Callithrix jacchus: one gene and its partner. The protein of the gene in region 1 purifies or fractionates together with the protein of each later gene. This does not show direct contact. Links are inferred from orthologs where the notes say so. Each region holds a gene or a part of one and is shown in the gene's direction. Other genes may lie near its edges.

Evidence for each region.
Region 2: the proteins of PRR3 (region 1) and DAXX purify together in Homo sapiens (co-immunoprecipitation; 3 studies listed by BioGRID and IntAct, with this or other methods). This does not show direct contact. The link is inferred for Callithrix jacchus from reciprocal best matches to the Homo sapiens genes PRR3 and DAXX.

What each region holds. Positions count from the first base shown.
Region 1 is NC_133505.1:35,350,971-35,360,631, forward strand, and holds PRR3 (proline-rich protein 3), read left to right. Parts: upstream 1-1,671; 5' UTR 1,672-1,712; coding exon 1,713-1,818; intron 1,819-2,534; coding exon 2,535-2,597; intron 2,598-6,731; coding exon 6,732-7,022; intron 7,023-7,274; coding exon 7,275-7,381; 3' UTR 7,382-8,582; downstream 8,583-9,661. Other genes in the region: GNL1 (guanine nucleotide-binding protein-like 1), read right to left, coding at 1-75, 485-557.
Region 2 is NC_133505.1:41,558,867-41,569,922, reverse strand, and holds DAXX (death domain-associated protein 6), read left to right. Parts: upstream 1-4,116; 5' UTR 4,117-4,209; intron 4,210-5,088; exon of another isoform or gene 5,089-5,091; 5' UTR 5,092-5,140; coding exon 5,141-5,347; intron 5,348-5,496; coding exon 5,497-6,328; intron 6,329-6,473; coding exon 6,474-6,685; intron 6,686-6,839; coding exon 6,840-7,056; intron 7,057-7,211; coding exon 7,212-7,689; intron 7,690-7,867; coding exon 7,868-8,090; intron 8,091-8,288; coding exon 8,289-8,348; 3' UTR 8,349-8,528; downstream 8,529-11,056. Other genes in the region: ZBTB22 (zinc finger and BTB domain-containing protein 22), read left to right, coding at 10,145-11,056. UniProt on the Homo sapiens protein: Transcription corepressor known to repress transcriptional potential of several sumoylated transcription factors. Down-regulates basal and activated transcription.

The sequences.
Region 1 (9,661 bases):
TATCGGTCTGTTCCTCCCGCCGCTCCCGGCTCCCGCTGCGGCTGTTGGAACTGGAGCGTAGCCCATCTTGAAGCCCTGCGGAGAGGGGCGGGTGACGCCAGGGCTGGCCAGCTCTCAAGCGCCGTAAGACCCTCTCCCGCGTCGGCCTGACTCTCCTTCATCCCACTCAACTTCTTTGGAGGCTCCGTCCTCCCAGCCACCCTGTTCGGGACCCTCCCGGATGTGCGCGGGGGAGTCACTCCTCCAGGGAGCAGTGCGGACCGTGCCCTGTACGAGCTGAAGGGATTCCCCTCCCCCAATTCTCCATCTTTCCCCACCCCTTCCAGATGTAGGGGGGGTGGGGAATCCCCTCCGCGAAAGGCCTCGAGGGTCAGCGCTCTCCCACGATCCCCTCCCACGCCCCCGAGAAGTGCAGCTAGCACACCCCTCCTTCCAGATGTGCGGGAGCCTGAGCCCCGCCCCCTCCTCCCGCTCCCGCACTGACCTCTCTTCCGCTCCCGCTTGTCCTGCAACTGCTTCTTCTTCTGCTTCACGCTGAAGGGCTTCTTCCTCGGCATGGCCCGGACCAGTCACCTGGCCCGCCCTCCACCGAGCTCCCGCCGCCTCAACTAACTGCCCCCGGGGCAGCCCCCGCCGCAGGGGCCCGGGACCCTAGAGGAGGCGGGGCTAGCAGGTGACGTCAGCGGGCGGGCCCGACCGAATTGCCGCGGCGGCCGCGATGGAAGACGACCGAGGGAGATATACAGTCACTTCCCTCCAGGAGCTAGGCGAGAGGATGATGCGGGGTGGGCTACTGGCACGTGAGAGCCAGTGGCACCGAGAGGGCGCCCCGGCGGCGGCGAAGGAGGCGCGCGTGGGAGGACCGGGCTAACTCCGTCACGGACGCTACCAACTTGCGTTCGGAGAAGGGGGGATGCGTGTCATCACTACTTTGCGCTCCCGGGAGAAGCTACCACTCACCTGGAGGGGGCGGTGGAGTGGAGGGCGGGGCCTACTACCTAGGGGAGAGGAGGCGTGGACTCGCTGAGACTACAAAACCAACCCTCGGGCTAGACCTTACTGGAAAACCGAGACTGTGCGTCCCGGGTAAGAAGCCAGGTTGCTGAGCTACACCGGGGGCACGATCAGAGGTCTTTAGGGGAGGGCGGCGGTCTGAAGAGTCCTGGGTGCCGACCTGCTGGGACCCAAATTCCTTGTGAGAACGATGATAAGTAGCAGGTTTACAGATGAGTGCAAAAGGGGACGAGAAGGGAAACCCAAACGGCACAAGGACTTTGGAGGGAGGTCAGAGGGCACGAAGTTGTGCCTGCAGCTGTTACCATAGTAACCGGGGACCGGATGTGGCGATCTTACGGTGCGACAGTCCTCTTCTCAGGCCTTCTGGCCAGAGAGCCTCTTGACTCTGTGGCACACTCCGAGGAGCTGGTTGTGGTGGTTTCCAACGAGGGAAGAAGAGAGGAATTTTTTTCAAAGCAGTTATAGAAACGCAGCAAAGGGAAGGTGTGAGGTTGCCACCATGCCTAGCAGAGACGGACAGAGGCAGTTTACTCCAGAATGCGGCCGCTGCAGATGTTCCCCGCAACGTTCCGGAAATGGAATGGCGGGAGCCTCATCCTCGCTGCCCACCGCCCCGCCGGAAGCGGAAACAGAATCCCCGTGTGCCCCTTCCTCACTGCCCTCCAAATCCCGCTGCAGCCATTGCGGCAGCCACGATGCCGAAACGAAAGAAGCAGAATCAGCACCAGCCACCATCACAGCAGCAGCCCCCACTGCCCGAGCGGGAAGATACTGGAGATGAGGAGGATGGGAGTCCCATCGGTGAGGGGTCGGGGAGGGACGTGCACATGCCTGTCAGCCCGTCCGGGCGAGGGGCTAGGGGCTGGTAAGGTGCAAAGGAGGGGGCTGTAACGGAAGGAGGAAGGGCGCACGCGCTGGGGAGGAATGGAAGGGGCTGTCCCAAATGGAGCCTTGAACGAGGAGTTCTCTTACTGGAACCATCAACCTCAAACTGGCCCCAAACCTTTCTGGAGAAGGCGGGGGTGGCGAGAATAAAGAGCTCTTTTGCGCAGTCGCAGAACAATAGGGGAAAGGGACAGTAGAGATGTTGCAGATTGTGATGACTGGGATGACAGTTTGTATCCAGACTGACTGAAGAGGTGCAGGTGCAGCTTTCTCTGAACTAGTCCTCTGGCCAAGGGGAAGGAGAAGAGAATTGACTGGCCAGCAGTTGAGGGATTGGTTTATGTCTGGAGACACTTGGATTGTTTTGGATAGCGACGGTACGGTGAGGAAAAGAAAAAGTTTTGTCTTTTCCTGCATTATCCCCTTTGATTGAATATCTACTCTTTGCAAACCCGAAACAGCTTTGCAGAAAAAAGCGCAGGTAGATGGGGTGAGAACTCCTAAGACTGCTGAAAATATACCTGACTTTACTGGTTGAATTAAGAAATGAGTAATAGAAGAAAAACACCTAAGAACAGAATCATCAGTCCCTTAATCCATTCTGATGACCGTATTTTCATGTCTGCTCTTAGGACCACCCAGCCTTCTGGGCCCTCCCCCCATGGCCAATGGAAAACCTGGTGACCCTAAGTCAGGTGAGGAGGAAGGGGCCCTGATCCTTGTATTAGGTCGTGGAGAAGAGAGCAAGGGAGGGGATAAAACCCAGAAAGGACTTAAAAATCAAAAGATCAGGGATTCCATACCTAAATGAATGGAGAAAAGTTGTATATTTGCTGATTGAAAAACTCGATGTTGTTAAAATGTCACTTCTTCCCAAACTGATGTATAGATTTCATGCATTCCAAGCCAGAATATCTACAGTGTTTTTGTAGAAATACACATTTTTATAGGGAAATGCAAAATATCAAGGTGAGAGACTGTCAAGATGATCTTGAAGTGGGAAGGCTTGCTATGAATATCAAGATTTGTAAGCTGGGCATGGTGTCACATGCCTATAGTCCTAGCTACTCAGGAGACTGAAGTGGGAGGATCGTTTGAGGCCAGCCTGGGCTACATAGTGAGACCCTGTCTCTAAAAACAAGAGAAAAAGACTATAAAGCTATAATAGTTACAACGATGCAGTTTGGACACAATTATAGACATAAGTCAACAGGACTTAGGTCCTGAAGACTCCAATAACAGACCCATACATGTGTGGACACTTCCTTTATGATGAAGATGGAACTGAAAAGTTGGTCTTTTCAATAAATGATACTGGATCACTTGGATATTCATGTAAAAAAATGGAATTTCACCTTGCACTCATAATCATATATAAAGATCTATTTCAAATGGACTGTAGATTTAAGTATAAAAGGTAAGAGAGGCCAGGTGCGGTGGCTCACACCTGTATTCCCAGCACTTTGGCGGGCCGAGGCGGGCAGATCACCTGAGGTTGGGAGTTTGAGACCAGCCCGACCAACATGGAGAAACCCTGTCTCTACTAAAAATACAAAATTAGCAGGGCATGGTGGCACATATTCCCAGCTACTCAGGAGGCTGAGGCAGGAGAATCACTTGAACCCGGGAGGCAGAGGTTGCAGTGAGCCAAGATTGCACCACTTGCACTCCAGCCTGGGCAACAAGAGCAAAACTCCATCTCTAAAAAAATTAATAAATAAAAGGTAAGAGAATAATTATTCTAGACAATAAATGGGCTGGGTGCAATAGCTCATGCCTGTAATCCTAGCACTTTGGGAGGCCGAGGTGGTGGATCACCTGAGGTCAGGAGTTCAAGACCAGCCTGGCCAACGTGGTGAAACCCCACCTTTTAAAAAAAAAAAAAGAAAGTAAATGTATTTTCATGCTCTAAGAGTTCTTAAACAGACCAGAAATGCCCATATACATACTAACCATAAAGGAAAGATTGGTAAATTGAACTGTTAGAAAATATAAACTTGCTAAATGACACCATCAAGAAATTAACAGGAAACCATACAGTAGAAGATAATGGCAACAAATATAACCAATAGGCGGGGCGTGGTGGCTCACACCTGTAATCCAAGCACTTTGGAGGCCAAGATGGTCGGGAGTTCAAGACCAGCCTGACCAACATGGTGAAACCCCGTCTTTTTAAAAAAAAAAATACATATATATATATATAACCAATAAAGAGCCTGTATCTATAATACATAAATAACCTTTCCAGACAAGCTATTTGAAAAACTGACAAAAGACCAGAACAGTTACCTTATTAAAATGCAGATATAAACTAATGATCTAAATGAATAAGCATCAACATCATTAATAAATGCAAGACAAAAATATACCACTTTGAAATTAGAACTCTTGGCCAGGTGTGGTGGCTCACACCTGTAATCCCAACACTTTGGGAGGCTAAGAAAGGTGGATCACCTGAGGTCAGGAGTTTGAGACCAGCCTGGCTAACACAGTGAAACCCTGTCTCTGCTGGAAATACAAAAATTAGCCTTGAACCCAGGAGACAAAGGTTTTTTTTTGTTGTTGTTGTTGTTGTTTTATTTATTTTATATTTTTATTTATCCCTGTAATCCCAGCTACTTGTGGGGCTGAGGTAGGAGAATCACTTGAACCCAGGAGGTAGAGGTTGCAGGAGGTGGAGATCATGCCATTGCACTCCAGCCCGGGCAACAAGAGTGAAACGCTGTCTCAAAAAAAAAAAAAAAGAAAGAAAGAAATTAGAACTCTGTGTACTGCTGCTGAGATTATAAAATGGTAAACCTACTATAGAAAACAATATGAAGATGTTCCTCTAAAACAATTAAAAATAGAACTACTCAGAACTCCTGCTTCTGGATATATATCCAAAAAAAAATGGAAAACAGGGTCTTGAGATTTGCAGACTCATGTTCATAGCAGCAACCCACATATCCAATGATGAAAAAAAAATGTGGTGTGTACATACAATGGAATATTATTCAGCCTTATGATGGAAGAAAATGCTGTCATATACTACAACATGGATGAACTTTGAGGACTTTATGTTAAGTAAAGACATAGTGTATGATTCCACTTATGTGAGGAGTCTGAAGTCAAATTCAGGGGCCAGGCATGGTGGTTCATGCCTGTAATCCCAGCACTTTGAGAGAGCGAGGCAGGCGGATCACTGAAGGTCAGGAGTTTGAGAGCAACCTGGCCAACATGGGGAAACCCCATCTCTACTAAATACAAAAATTAGCCCAGCATGGTGGTACACGCCTGTAATCCCAGCTACTCAGGTGGCTGAGGCACAAGAATTGCTTAAACCTGGGAAGTGGAGGTTGCAGTGAGCCGAGATAACACCTCTGCACTCCAGCCTGGGCAGCAGAGCAAGACTTTGTCTCAAAAAAAATTATAAAAATAAAGTCAAATTCAAAGAAACAGAATGGTGGTTACTAGAGGCTGGGGGAAGGAAGATGGAAGAAGGGGAGTTTTGTTTAATGGGAACAGTTTCATTCAGTTTTGCAAGATAAAAAACTTTTGGAGATCTGTTTCACAACAATATGAATATATGTAACTACTGAACTATATATACACTTAAAGACAGGTAAGATGGTAAATTTTATGTGTTTTTTAGCACAATAAAAAGCAAACAAGATGAGACATGATGACTCATACCTATAATCCTAGCACTTTGGGAGACCAAGGTGGGAGGATCATTTGAGCCCAGGAGTTCAAGACCAGCCTGGGCAATGTGGCAAGACCCAATCTCTCATTTAAAAAATTAAAACACCACTTTTCACACTCACCAGAATGGTAAAAATTAAAAAACAATACCAAGTGCTGTCAAGGCTAAAGGACAACTGCTGGTGAGAGTGCAAATTGGTACAACCACTACGGAAAAAAGTTTGGGCTCATGCCTGTAATCCTAGCACTTTGTGAGGCCGAGGTGGGTGGACTGCCTGAGCTCAGCAGTTTGAGACCAAGCCTGAGCAGCATGGCGAAACCCCGTCTCTACTAAAATACAAAAAGTTAGCTGGGTGTGGCAGTGTGCACCTGTAGTTCCAGCTACTCAGGAGGCCGAGGCAGGAGAATTGCTTGAACCCGGGAGGCAGGGGTTGCAGTGAGCCAAGATCATGCCACTGTACTCCAGCCTGGGCAACACAGTGAGACTCCATCTCCAAAAAGAAAGTTTGGCATTATGCATGAAACTTGAGCATAACGTACACTCTATGACCCAGCAATACCTCTACTGCATATATACTCAACAGAAATGCATACATATGTGTAACAACATGTATAAAAATGTTTATAGTGGAATTTCTCGTTATAGCCCCAAACTGGATACCACCCACAAGTCTATCTGCAGTAGAATGGATAAATAAGTTGTTGTGTATGCATGCAATGGGATACTACACTGCAGCGAAATGAATGAACTACTTCTACAGGCAACCTGGATGAATCACACAAACATGATGTTGAGCGAAAGGAGCCAGACATAAAAGAATGCAGACTGTATGATTCCATTTTTTGTGAAGTTCAAAAACAGGCAAAAACTAACCTATGCTGTCAGGATAGTGGTTACCTTTGGGGAGGAGGGTGGATAGTGGGAAAAGGGGCACAAGGGGAGGATCTACTGAGGTGCTAATAAGGCCTTATCATTTGGTGGCGGAAAGTCAAGTGTGTCTACTTTGTGATAATTGGGTTGTGCACTTAAAACTGGTGTGTGTTTATGTATGCTGTTCTTCAATAAAAAATTTTTTTAAAAATCAGGGCTTATTAGGATTAAGCTGCCCATTGGTCACCTTTTTTTTTTTTTTTCCTCTCTCCAGCTTTTCACAGAGGTCCTCCAGGATCAAGGGGACCATTGATTCCACCACTGCTGAGCCTCCCACCTCCTCCATGGGGTAGAGGCCCAATTCGGGGAGGCCTTGGCCCCAGGTCTAGCCCATATGGTCGTGGTTGGTGGGGAGTCAATGCTGAACCTCCTTTTCCGGGGCCAGGCCATGGGGGTCCCACCAGGGGAAGCTTTCACAAAGAACAGAGAAACCCTCGAAGGCTCAAAAGCTGGTCTCTTATCAAGAATACCTGCCCGCCCAAGGATGACCCCCAGGTTATGGAAGGTGAGGTCCATTTTGTTATGCCCCTTACTCCCAGAGTGACAGAACATTCATGATCATCTCTGGGCTTTCCTTGTTTGCTTTTGAAGCAGAAATAGACCTGAATGTTATTTCTCCCAGAGGAAAGACTACCATTTCAAAATACCTGGAAATGGTAGGGGTAGGAAATCTGTCCTCCTTTTGTCTCTGCTTTTCATTATATTTGTTTTCTTTCTTGCTCAAATTTTTAAATGTTCAATTTTCACTTGTTCACAGACAAATCTGACCGCCCTGTCTGCCGACATTTTGCCAAAAAGGGCCACTGTCGATATGAGGACCTCTGTGCCTTCTACCACCCAGGCGTCAATGGACCTCCCCTGTGAGACTGTGCCTTCCCATCCAGGCTGGAAGGAGCTCTCTGTGACCTAGTGGCAATGCATTTCCCTGTAGCCCTGTGATGGCTACTGTGAGGCTCTTCCAACACCCTCAGTCAGTGACGCACCCACCCCATCCGCCACCTCCCCAATTTGGGGTCCACAGTTGTGTTGTGTCACTGGTGCGAGGTGTATGCGCTTTCTTCTGATCCAGCCTGTAGAGACTCACCTTCGGGACCCATCTTTGCTCCCTTCAGTTGCCTCCTGGATCTTCTTTCCCGTCATCAAATGACTGCTGAACAGGAAACTTCTTTGGTGCTGTTTCTTGTGCATCTCTCCACCTGCTCCCCAGTACTGCCCTCAATTCCTGAGAGCCCTGGAGTGGTTTCTTACCATTCCCTTCTTCTAGCTGCTTGTTTTGTTTTAAGTCATTTTTATGTGACAACTCCTACCCCCAATGTTGTCAGCTGCTTGTGAAACTGCCAGGTTGTCTAACCTGGGGTCAGGTTTTGGTGACTGGTGCAGAGTTACTTCCTACAAGGCCACTCTCCCTACTTTTGGATTTCATAGTTTCTGTCAGTAGCATGAGCCCCACCACTATGGTCTGTGATCACCGTGCTTTGTGGAACTGTGCATCCCCTTGTAGCCTTTTTCAGTGTCCATGGCATTTTTGTGACTTCCCAACACTAGAGTAAGTTTTTCTGCCAAAATGAGTGAGGCTCTTGGTGCCCTCTAGCCTTTCCCACCTCCCAACGTGGGAGAATTGTGAACTTTCCATCAAACTGCTTCCCTGGCCCTCCCCATTCTCCTGTTGGTTATTCTGGGTCTGACACAGGCCCTTGAGATGTCATGTAAAGCCTCCAGTGGCTTTATCCTACCTAGATCCCTTCTAGCCCATTTTAGTTAGACTGTCATTGTGAATGCACCAGTCATTTCATTTGAATTCTGTGAATCTCCACCTTGCCTATGTTTGGGTGGAAACTGGACAGTACTGTTGCCCTCTTCCAACCCCTCTTCCCCTACATCCTGGTACTGGTTGTTTTCTGTGAAAACAGCAGTGAACAGGTTCCGTTTTGAACTGACCCTGAGGAAGTGAGTCAGGAGCTGTACTGGCAAGAGGGAGGGGATGAGAGCTATTGGAGAACTGAGAATGAGGTTTTTTTTTCTTTTTAACATTTTTTTATATTAGTAATAAACGCAGTGGAAACCAGCATTTTCTTTAATCCCTGTGTTCTAGTCATCTCTGGAGATGCAGATGAAGCTGTTCTTACCTGGTGGAGTCAGCTCATTCTAGTTGAATGAGCTGACTAGAATGTTCATACATTCCCCATCAGTAGTTCATATACACTAGTGATGGGGAATGACACAATTTAAGGTTCTTTCAGGCTGAAAGAACCAATGGGGGTTCCATTAGCCTGTAGGCTTCAATCAGACCAAGCTGCCTTATGTTCAAGGGCAAAGTTTTGTAGGAAAAAGGAAAGGCCAGGTGTCCCTGGAGTTATTTTTAAACATTTTGCTTTATGGAGTTTTGTGTTTATGAAGTGGTTAATGATGGAGTCTTTCAGCAACAATTTGCAGAGTGTCTGTGGGCCAAGCAATATACTAAGCACTAGAGATAACTGACAGCCAAAGCCAATTTATTTAAAATGTACAGGGAAGACCAGTTTATCAAATAATCACAAATAGCATGTGAAGTTAAACCTGTCAAAAGTGGTGGGAAGAAGACAGGGTGAAAGGGAAGTGTGTAATAAAGGGAGTCAGGGAAGGGGATGCAGCTGAGACATGCTCCAAAGGAAAAACAGGAGGTTTTCGCTAAAAGACCAAGGGGAAGAGGAGCTAAGAAACCTAGGGACAGTGGGAGGTGACACAGAAGACCTCCAGACCACTCAGGGCCTTGGAGAACATGAAAATGTGGCTCTTTTCTTAGAATTGAAGGCTTTGGAGAATTCTAGACAGGTGAGTATCATGGCTTAGGTTGGCTTTTCAAAAAAATCAGCTTGTATGGAAAGGGCCAGCCTTGGACCTGGAAGTTAGTTAGAAGCTACTGGCTACTTCAGTAGTACAAGTGATGAAACAGACTTGGGTAGCAGAGGTGGAAAAAAGTGGGCATTTGAAAATTACTGGTCAAAACAAAGTATCAGATTTCACCACATAGTTCTGGCTTATGTAGCTGCCATTTAAAAAGAAAAGTATTGGGCCAGGAGCGGTGGCTCACAATTGTAATCCCAGCACTTTGAAAGGCCAAGGCGGGCAGGTCACGAGATCAGGTGTTCAAGACCTGATCAACAG
Region 2 (11,056 bases), about 6.2 Mb from region 1:
AATTAGCCAGGTGTGCCTGTAATCCCAGCTACTCAGGAAGGCTGAGGCAGGAGAATTTCTTGAACCTGGGAAGTGGAGGTTGCAGTGAGCTGAGATCATGCCACTGCACTCCAGCCTGGGCAACAGAGCGAGACTCCATCTCAAAAAATAAATAAAATAAAATAAAACAATTTATTGTCCAGGGCAATTGAAGTATCGGTGGCTCATGCCTGTAATCCGAGCACTTTGGGAGGCCAAGGCGGGCTGATCATGAGGTCAAGAGTTCTAGACCAGCCTGATCAACATGGTAAAAACCCGTTTCTACTAAAAATACAAAAATTAGCTGGGTGTGGTGGTGAGCACCTATAATCCCAGCTACTCAGGAGGCTAAGGCAGGAGAATTGCTTGAATCTGGGAGGTGGAGGTTGCAGTGAGCCAAGATCATGCTACTGCACTCCAGCATGGGTGACAGAGGGCTACTCCGTCTCAAAAAAAAAAAACCATAGTAACTTGTTACCCACTACTACCCATTAAAAAATGTATAAATAGGCCAGGCGGGGTGGCTCATGCCTGTAATCCCAGCACTTTGGGAAGCCAAGGTGGGCGGATCATAAGGTCAGGAGATCAAGACTATCCAGGCCAACAGTGGTGAAACACCGTCTCTACTAAAAATACAAAAAAATTAGCTGGGCATGGCGGCACATGCCTGTAGTCCCAGCTACTTGGGAGGCTGAGGCAGGAGAATTGCTTTATCTTAGGAGACTGCAGTGAGCCAAGATTGTGCCACTGCACTGCAGCCTGGGTGACAGTGGGAGACTCCATCTAAAAAAAAAAAAAAAAAAAAAAAGTGTAAATAAGGCCTGGCTCGGTGGCTCAGGCCTATAATCCCAGCACTTTGGGAGGCCAAGGTGGGTGGATCACTTGAGGTCAGGAGTTTGAGACCAGCCTGGCCAACATGGCAAAATCCCATCTCTACTAAAAAAAAAAGAAAAAAGTAAAAAATACCAAAAAATTGGCTAGGCATGGTGGTATGCATCTATAATCCCAGCTGCTCAGGAGGTTGAGGCAGAAGAATCACTTAAACCTGGGAGGGGGAGGTTGCAGTGAGCTGAGATTGTGCTACTGCACTCCAGCCTGGGCAACAGCAAGACCCTGTCTCAAAAAAAAAAAAGTATAAATAAGTTCTTACCAGTTGGGAATCATTCCTTTTCTTCTTTTATCATTTCTTTTCTCTTTGAACTCCTGCTACCATTCCACTTCCCCACAAACTTTATGCTTTTATTCTATTTTATTTATTTATTTATTTTTGAGATGAAGTCTTGATTTGTCACCCAGGCTGGAATGCAGTGGCATGATGTTGGCTCACTGCAACCTCTGCCTCCTGGGTTCAAGCAATTCTCCTGCCTCAGCCTCCCAAGTAGCTAGGATTACAGACATTCACCACCACGTCCTGCTAATTTTTTTGTATTGTTAGTAGATACGGGGTTTCACCATGTTGGCCAGGCTGGTTTTGAACTCCTGACCTCAAGTAAACCACCCTCCTCAACCTCCCAAGTAGCTGGGATTACAGGCGTGAGCCACCACGCCCAGCCAAACTTTATGCTTTTATACTTGAAAGTCCTTTATTGACCAATCTTTTATATCTTCCTGCCTATACATATATGTTAATGGAGATGAAAAATATCTTTCTTGTGATTGTAAGACTCTAGTTGTTAAAAGTCTTCTGGGAGGAGCTACTGCTACAATTATTATGGGAACAGAATGTTCAAACAGTATAAAGATCGTACACTTTTTTTTTTTAAGACGAGGTTTCACCATGTTGGCCAGGTTGGTCTCCAACTCCTGACCTCAAGTGATCCACCCACCTCAGCCTCCCAAAATGCTGGGATTACAGGCGTGAGCCACCGCGCCCGGCCTATCATACACGTTTTTATGACCATTAAAAAGAAATCTTTACGTGCCTGTAATCCCAGCTACTCAGGAGGCTGAGGCAGGAGAATTGCCTGAACCCAGGAGGCAGAGGTTGCGGTGAGCCCAAGATTGCGCCATTGCACTCCAACCTGGGTAACAAGAGTGAAACTCTGTCTCAAAAAAAAAAAAAAAAAAAAAAAAAAGAACTCTTTAATAAGATAGCAGTCTGGGAGTGGCCATTCATGCCCATAATCCCAGCACTTTGAGAGACTCAGGCGGGAGGACTGCTTGAGGCCAGGAACTCAAGACCTGTGTGGGCAATATAGTGAGACCCTGTTGCTACAAAAAAAACTTTTTTTTTTTTTTTTGGGACGGAGTCTTGCTCTGTTGCCAGGCTGGAGTGCAGTGGTGTGATCTCGGCACACTGCAACTTTCAGCTCCCAGATTCAAGCGATTCTCCTGCCTCAGCCTCCCAAGTAGCTGGGACTACAGGGGCATACCACCACGCCCAGCTAATTTTTGTATTTTTAGTTTCACCATGTTGGCCAGGCTGGTCTTGAACTCCTGACCTCGTGATCCACCCGCCTAGGCCTCCCAAAGTGCCAGGATTATAGGCATGAACCACAGCGCCCGGCTGATCCTGTCTTAAAAAAAAAAAAGAAAAGAAAAGAAAAAGAAAGGAAAAAGATAGGTGTTCATGGTGACTTGGTGAAAGAAACAGGGTACATGTCCCTTTATTTTAAACAGGTAAGATTACCCCAGAGATTTCATGGTTGAGAACTATAGTTTTGAGGGGGGAGGAACTATACTTGTTTTCCTTTTCTCTTAAGAGGGTGACTGTATTGTAAAAGGAGAAGTGAAGAATGAGAAGCTGTACCGCAGGTGTTTCCTTACGAAGACCAATTTTGGGAAAGTTGAGGTTCTGGAAATTAAATCCCTTACATGTCCCAAGTCCCAGTCCCCTCCGAGAGTTTTATGTTCCCATTTTGAAAGCTGTAGACTTTGACAACGGGAGAGAAGTGATGTGGGATTGTTTAATGAACGGTGTTTGCCATTCCGGGACTCAGCGTTAGGGATCTAAGGACCTCTGTGGCCCCAGTTAAGTGGCAAGATGTTGTGAAAGTGGGAATCTCAACGATTGGGACCCTGTTAACATTTCTGGTTTCCTCATAAGCTCACCTCTGGAAACAGCCTTGCCTCCACGACACCCTACAGTCTCCCTAAACTCAACGAGGTGAGTATCAGTTTGTTTCTTCATCCTTTATTCTTTTTTCAGCTCTCCCAGAAGAGGAGGCGGAGACCCAAGGTATTTTCGTCTCACAGACTCTCCTCCAAGTCCCACCCCATCATTGCCTATCCACAGACCCTGCGGGGGGGCCTCCACGACAAAGCACGGCCTCCTGGTCAGCACAAACGGCCCCTCGAGGACCCCCTCCGGAGAAGCAGAACCATTCGAGTCCCACCAGTTTGGTTGGCCATTAGTTCTGTGGTGAAGCTTGAAAAGCAAATCAACAACAGTAGCAATAATAATAATAACAACACTTTTGCATGGCGCGTTGTGCTCATTTGTATGCATGTGTTATAACAATCGGGAGACGCAGACCCTGGCAGTGGAAGCAACTGCTGGACAGCGGCAAGGAGCGCGCCGCCTAGCGGGGAAAGGGGAAGGAGCAGCCGAATAAGCCTTGGAAATGGGAATCTGGGAATCTGGGGGACAGGAAAGCAGGGCCAGAAGGCTTGCCAACAGCCCAGCTGAAATAAAAAGGTTTTACTTCCCTTTTAAGAGACTTCTGCCCTTCCATGAAATCCTGCGCAGCTTTGGAAAGCCCAATTCCTTATCCACCCTGTACGGTTCCCCTGCCCCTGCTCGAAAAGGAGGCTCGGTCCTCCCTACATGCTACTCGCCAGCGATTAGGCCCCAAGCAGGAAGTTTCTGATTGGCAGAGTCGTAGAAGCACCGGGTGAAAAGAGCTCCACTGGCTGCGCACCGGAGTCCGGGTTTAGCCAGCGCCGTACGGCAAAATGGCGGCCCCCAGCTGCTTTGGGAAGCTTGGGTTGGGGGAGACAAACTCCGATCTGAAAGAGAGCGCTATGTGGGCGGCACTGAAAGTGTTCACGGGGCGGGCCTACGGCCACTTCCGTCCACAGAAAGACTGGGTTCCGTACGACAATATGGCGGCGCTTAGTTGCCTGTAGGCGGAAACTCTGTGACTTCCGGTCCGTAGTGGGGCCTGCGGTGGGAGGGGGAAGGAAGGCGGAGGGAACCATGCGAGGTTCTGAGATCAGCCGCGAGGGTCGCCTCGAGAGACCGTTTCTGAGGTGGGGGCCGGCCGGTGCGGGGACCAGAGGCAGGGGCGGGGATATCGGGGGAGGGGTATGGGGGAGAGCCAGGCATTGGGTCTGAGGTGAAAGCTGTGATACCTTCCTATCCCTGAAAGGGAGTGGGGCGGCCGGGGGTTGAACTGGGGGAGGGGGATTTGGCGGGAAGCGCGTCTACTGGACCTGCTCGACCCAGGGTTGGGATCTAAGAGGAATCGGGAGAACGCAGCGCGGAGGCTGGGGGGTACTTTTGATCAGGTCACAGAGAGAATGGGGAAAATTAGGGTGGGGTGAGAGGGAGGGGACTTGGAGTAAAATATCTTCAACCTGAAGCCCCAGTTTGAGGAGACTCATCAGAGGGTGAAATATGGAGCCAGTTCAAGGAGGGGAAAAGAGAACGGACTGTTGGGAGGGAACCTCTTTTGCCTCAGAGAGTCTAGAAGTTGGGGTGATCATTCAGGATGGGGTGGGTGTGGGGTTGACATGTTTGAGGACAGACGTGGCAAATACATAAGGTGGCGCCCATAAGAGTGTGTTATCTGTACAAGGGGGTGTCAGGACGATTTGGGGTGCAGTGTGGGAGGAAGACTCAACTTGCCAACTCTGAGAAATAGTGGAGAGACGAAACTGAAAGACCGGAAATCGACGTGAGGGGTGGAGCAGAAGGTGGCAACTTATGGTGTGGGGGTGGTTTGCCCTCCCCACACCACTTGAAGAGCCCGAAAAGCATATAGAACTAATGGTTATTGAAATCAGGTGGTGAAGATAGTTTTGGTCAGGGATGGATGTTACTGAAACCCAAGGAGTTAGGAAAATGTGTGAGGTGAAGGGATGGGGCAATGCTGGAGGGGATCATTCTGAGGCCCCATCCCCTTCCAGCAGGAATTCTGAAATCCCCACCACTTCCTCCGTCTGGGGGATTTGATCCCCCATGGCCACCGCTAACAGCATCATTGTGCTGGATGATGATGACGAAGATGAAGCAGCTGCTCAGCCAGGGCCCTCCCACCCACTCCCCAGTTCGGCCTCGCCTGAGGCAGAAGCCCCTAGCTCCTCTGAGCCTCATGGGGCCAGAGGACGCAGTAGTTCGGGAGGCAAGAAATGCTACAAGTTGGAGAATGAGAAGCTGTTCAAAGAGGTGAGCTTTAGTGGGAAGATTTTTGTACCCCAGGGAGGGGGATGGCTGACTGGCTCTCCTGTCCTTTCTTCCCCACTAACCCCACCACCCCTTTCTCTCAACCCTTCCCTTGTCTCTCTTCCCTTCCCTTCTTCCCCTGAACCTTCCAGTTCCTTGAACTTTGTAAGATGCAGACAGCAGACCACCCTGAGGTGGTCCCATTCCTCTATAGCCGGCAGCAACGTGCCCACTCTCTGTTTTTGGCCTCGGCGGAGTTCTGCAACATCCTCTCTCGGGTCCTATCTCGGGCCCAGAGCCGGCCAGCTAAGCTCTATGTCTACATTAATGAGCTCTGCACTGTTCTCAAGGCCCACTCAGCCAAAAAGAAGCTGAACTTGGCCCCTGCTCTCACCACCTCCAATGAGCCGTCTGGGAATAACTCTCCCACACACCTCTCCTTGGACCCCACAAATGCTGAAAACACTGCCTCTGAGGCCCCAAGGACCCGTGGTTCCCGGCGGCAGATCCAGCGCTTGGAGCAGCTGCTGGCACTCTATGTGGCAGAGATCCGGCGGCTGCAGGAAAAGGAGTTAGATCTCTCGGAATTGGACGACCCAGACTCCACATACCTGCAGGAGGCACGCTTGAAGCGTAAGCTGATCCGCCTCTTTGGGCGACTATGTGAGCTGAAAGACTGCTCTTCACTGACGGGCCGTGTCATAGAGCAGCGCATCCCCTACCGTGGTACCCGCTACCCAGAGGTTAACAGGCGCATTGAGCGGCTCATCAACAAGCCAGGGCCTGATACCTTCCCTGACTATGGAGATGTGCTTCGGGCAGTGGAGAAGGCAGCTGCTCGCCACAGCCTTGGCCTCCCCCGACAGCAACTCCAGCTCATGGCTCAGGATGCCTTCCGAGATGTGGGCATCAGGTTACAGGAACGACGGCACCTCGATCTCATCTACAACTTTGGCTGCCACCTCACAGATGACTATAGGCCAGGTAGGGGGTTAGTGGGATACCTGTCAGTGACCTTTATATTGTCAGGTATGAGGCGGATGGGGCATCTCTCTAGTCCTTTCTAGGGTTTGTACTCTTCTAGGCCCTTCAAGGGCTGAGTGCTCTGACTTTATGTCTTCCCATGTAGGCATTGACCCTGCGCTGTCAGATCCTGTGTTGGCCCGGCGCCTTCGGGAAAACCGGAGTTTGGCCATGAGTCGGTTGGATGAGGTCATCTCCAAATATGCAATGTTGCAAGACAAAAGTGAGGAGGGCGAGAGGAAAAAGAGAAGAGCTCGGCTCCAAGGCACCTGTTCCTCCTCTGCAGACATCCCCAATGCCTCCTTGGATTCTGGTGAGGTGTGGATGGGGTACAGCCTTCAGAGAGACTTTCTCCTTCCCCTGCACTGGCCACCAGGGAGTCCAGGTTGACTGATGGGGGAGTATGAAAAGGAATGCAAGAATCAAACCCTCTGGGGCAAGGGATTCCTTAGAGAAACTTCTTTGTCCCCAGGGCCCTAGTGGAATGGCATCCCAGGGGTGCCCTTCCACCTCCAGAGCTGAGACAGATGATGAAGATGAGGAAAGTGATGAGGAAGAGGAGGAGGAGGAGGAGGAGGAGGAGGAAGAGGAGGAGGCCACAGATTCTGAAGAGGAGGAGGATCTGGAACAGATGCAGGATGGTCAGGAGGACGATGAAGAGGAGGAAGAAGAGGAAGAGGAAGAAGCAGGTAAGTCAAGGAAACATTATCCACACCTGTCATTTCTGTTTTCTTAGGCATAAGCCACCTGTTTGAGACCTTTTCCTTCCTCCTCCTAGTGTCCTCTCAGCAGTATTTTTTCCCCTCATTCTCAAGCTACCCCCTCTCCTTTTCTTCTTTTCCAGATAAAGGTGGAGACAGGAGCCCTGTGTCTTCACCACAGATCTCTACTGAAAAGAACCTGGAACCTGGCAAAGAGATCAGCAGGTCTTCAGGGGAGCAGCAAAATGAAGGACTCACAGTGTCACCATCATTACTGTCAGAAGAACCCCTGGCCCCCTCCAGCATAGATGCTGAAAGCAATGGAGAACGGCCTGAGGAGTTGACCCTGGAGGAAGAAAGCCCTATATCTCAGCTCTTTGAGCTAGAGATTGAAGCTTTGCCCCTGGATACCACCCCTTCCTCTGTGGAGACGGACATTTCCTCTTCCAGGAAGCAGTCAGAGGACTCCCTCACCACTGTTTTAGAGAATGGGGCAGGCATGGTCTCTTCTACTTCCTTCAATGGAGGCGTCTCTCCTCACAACTGGGGAGATTCTGGCCCCCCCTGCAAAAAATCTCGGAAGGAGAAGAAGCAAACAGGATCAGGGCCATTAGGAAACAGGTAATAACAACAGGAGGAGGAAGAGGGAAGGAGGAGGAAGAGTTCCCTGAAAGGAGGGATTGCAGGGGACTTTCGGAGAGGAATATGGGGGAACTGAGTCTGTTGGGAGAGACTGGACTGTTTCCCTCCAGCCTCAGTCTTCCTGTACCCCTCCACATATTTATGTTTCTGTTCCTAGCTATGTGGAAAGGCGAAGGTCAGTGCATGAGAAGAATGGGAAAAAGATATGTACCCTGCCCAGCCCACCTTCCCCCTTGGCTTCCTTGGCCCCGGTTGCTGATTCCTCCACAAGGGTAGACTCTCCCAGCCATGGCCTTGTGACCAGCTCCCTCTGCGTCCCTTCTCCAGCCCGGCTGTCCCAAACCCCCCAGTCACAACCTCCCCAGCCTGGTACTTACAAGGTAAGAAGGGGAGGCTGGGTTTCCTCTGATAATTTGTTCTCTTTCATTGTCTGTTTCAGCTGCTCTGTCTGAATATTTCACCCTCCACATTCTCTGTCTCGCTTTTTCCCACCTACGTTTTATCCTCTAAATCCTCCTGTCTGTTTCTTTTCCCCTGTACTCCATATCTCTCTGACTCTGTCTCTCACTTCCCTGCAGACGAGTGTGGCCACACAGTGTGATCCAGAGGAGATCATCGTGCTTTCAGACTCTGATTAGCTGCCTCCCCTTCTCCCTGCCTCCAAAATGTTTTGGGATAGCATTTGGAGGATGGTGGGAAGCAGATGACTGAGCAAAGGATGGACTGAGCTAATCCCCTGTTGGTGTTTCTTTTAAAAAAAAAAAACTTAAGTTTTACACAGAAACATTAATAAACAATAAACTTCTTTTCTTATTGTATCACTGTCTTTTCCTTCTGTGGTCATGGATTGGCATTAGCTGTCCCTTTCCTTGCTCATGGTTTGCCCGATGTTCCCGGGGTAGTCCTGATCTGTCCTTTCTAACCTGGTCTTTTTTTTTCTTTCTTTTTTTGTGTCTCATCTTATCACCCAGGCCAGAGTGCAGTGGTGTGATCACAGCTCACTGCAGCCTGGACTTCCCGGTCTCAAGTGATAATGCCTCAGCCTCCCCAGTAGCTGGGACTACAGGCACGCGCCACCACACTTTGCTAATTTTTGTCGTTTGTAGTTTTTGTAGATACGGGGTTTCGCCATGTTTTTCAGGCTGTACTTTTTTTTTTTAAAGTGCTTCAGCCGCCTTAACGCACTTTACTTTTTCAGTTCTTGCAGTTGGAGTGAAAAAGCCAATGAGAGACCGACTCAAGGTTATTCGGCCAATCCAGGCCCGGAGACGGGGGGCGGGGCTTCAGGGGAAATGTCAGGAGCTAGGAAGGAGGCGATTAGATCTCACCAACCAGCTAATGGTCACAGCTCAGAGGCGGAGCCTGGGGAACGGTGCCTGGACCCGTCGCCAATGGGAAAAGGCAGGCTTGTAGCTTTAAAGGGGAATAAATGCTTCGGCCGAACCAAGTCCTGAGTTCCCAGCGGAGGAGGGGACCTGATCCTTTAAGGTGGAATGAGGCGACGGTTCTTTAAAGGCAAAGTGGCCGAGTCGGCCGAGTATTGCCCAGCGGCGCGGGCGGGGTGCCCGGCTGTGCCTTTAAAGTCGGAGGGGCGGGAGGCGGAGCGGAGGCGGAGGGCGGAGGGAGTCGGCGCAAGATGGCGGCGGGAGGGGCTCAGGCTGCAGCTCTGGCCGCCGAGTGAGGGGCGGGGGGGGCCCGGGGGCGCGCGGCCCGGTAAGCGGGGACGCGCGAGGTTGGGGGGCGCCTTCCGGGTGGGAGAAGAGGCCGAGGTAGCGCCTGGGGCGGAGCGGGGGGGGGGGGCGGGGTCCGGTGTGGGCGGAGGTTAGACAAGGGGCGGGGTCGAAAGGCCCGAAAGTGGGCGGGGCACGGGGCGAGCCTGGAAAGGGGCGGGGCTAGGTAGGAGCTGGGGCGAAAGGGGGCGTGGTCGGCGAGAGAGCTGGGGGGCATAGCCTGAGGGGGAGATTGAACAGAGGGTTGGTTTTCAGTAGAGGAGCTGCCCTGCCCCCTCCCAAAAAATGGGTACAAACGCCAAAAAGGTAGATTTTGGAATGTCAGGCGCTCAGGTAAATGGGAAATAGGGTATAATTCCGAAGAAGGCACACCAGCCCCTAAGAGCGCCTTCTTTCTCTATAATCTCCAAGGAAAGGGCTCAGGATTTGTCAGATACTTGTGTTTGCTAGCGCCGCCACTTACTGACTGTGTGACCTTGAATAATCTCTTAATCTTTCTGAGCCTTAGTTTCCTCCTCTGTTAAATGGGGTTGAGAGTAATACCACACGGTTGTGGGGAATTACGCAGATAATGAGTGTAAACTGGCTGTGTCATTATGAGATTTATCATTATTATTTTCTCTCTTTCTTCCCAGAGACCCCCCCGGCCGCCCTCCTCCTTCCTTTGTACCTGTGGCTGGGGGGGTATCCCCTCCCTCCACAACATGGAGCCATCTCCTCTGTCTCCCAGTGGGGCAGCACTCCCCCTGCCGCTGTCGCTGGCTCCACCCCCACTACCCCTGCCAGCAGCTGCAGTGGTACATGTGTCCTTCCCTGAGGTGACCAGTGCCCTCCTGGAGTCCCTCAATCAGCAGCGTCTTCAGGGCCAGCTCTGTGATGTGTCTATCCGAGTACAGGGCCGGGAGTTCCGGGCTCATCGGGCTGTGCTGGCTGCCTCCTCCCCTTACTTCCATGATCAGGTCCTACTCAAGGGCATGACCTCCATCTCGCTGCCCAGTGTCATGGACCCAGGCGCCTTCGAGACTGTCCTAGCTTCCGCTTACACTGGCCGCCTTAGCATGGCTGCTGCTGACATTGTCAACTTCCTCACGGTGGGGTCTGTGCTCCAAATGTGGCACATTGTGGACAAGTGCACTGAACTACTCCGAGAAGGCCGGGCTTCAGCTACCACCACCGTCACTACTGCTGCAGCCACCTCTGTCACTGTCCCTGGTGCTGGGGTCCCATCCGGGAGTGGGGGCACTGTGGTCCCTTCTACCATGGGCTCTGTGCGCTCCCATGCCTCCAGCCGAGCCAGTGAGAATCAGTCTCCCAGCAGCAGCAACTACTTCAGCCCCAGGGAGTCCACTGATTTCTCATCTTCCTCCCAAGAGGCATTTGCAGCTTCTGCAGTGGGCAGTGGGGAGCGTCGAGGAGGTGGCCCTGTATTCCCAGCCCCTGTCGTTGGCAGTGGGGGCGCCACCTCTGGGAAGCTGCTGCTGGAGGCAGATGAACTGTGCGATGACGGTGGGGATGGAAGGGGGGCAGTGGTCCCTGGGACTGGGCTCAGGAGACCCACCTACACACCCCCTAGCATCATGCCACAGAAACACTGGGTATATGTGAAGCGAGGTGGT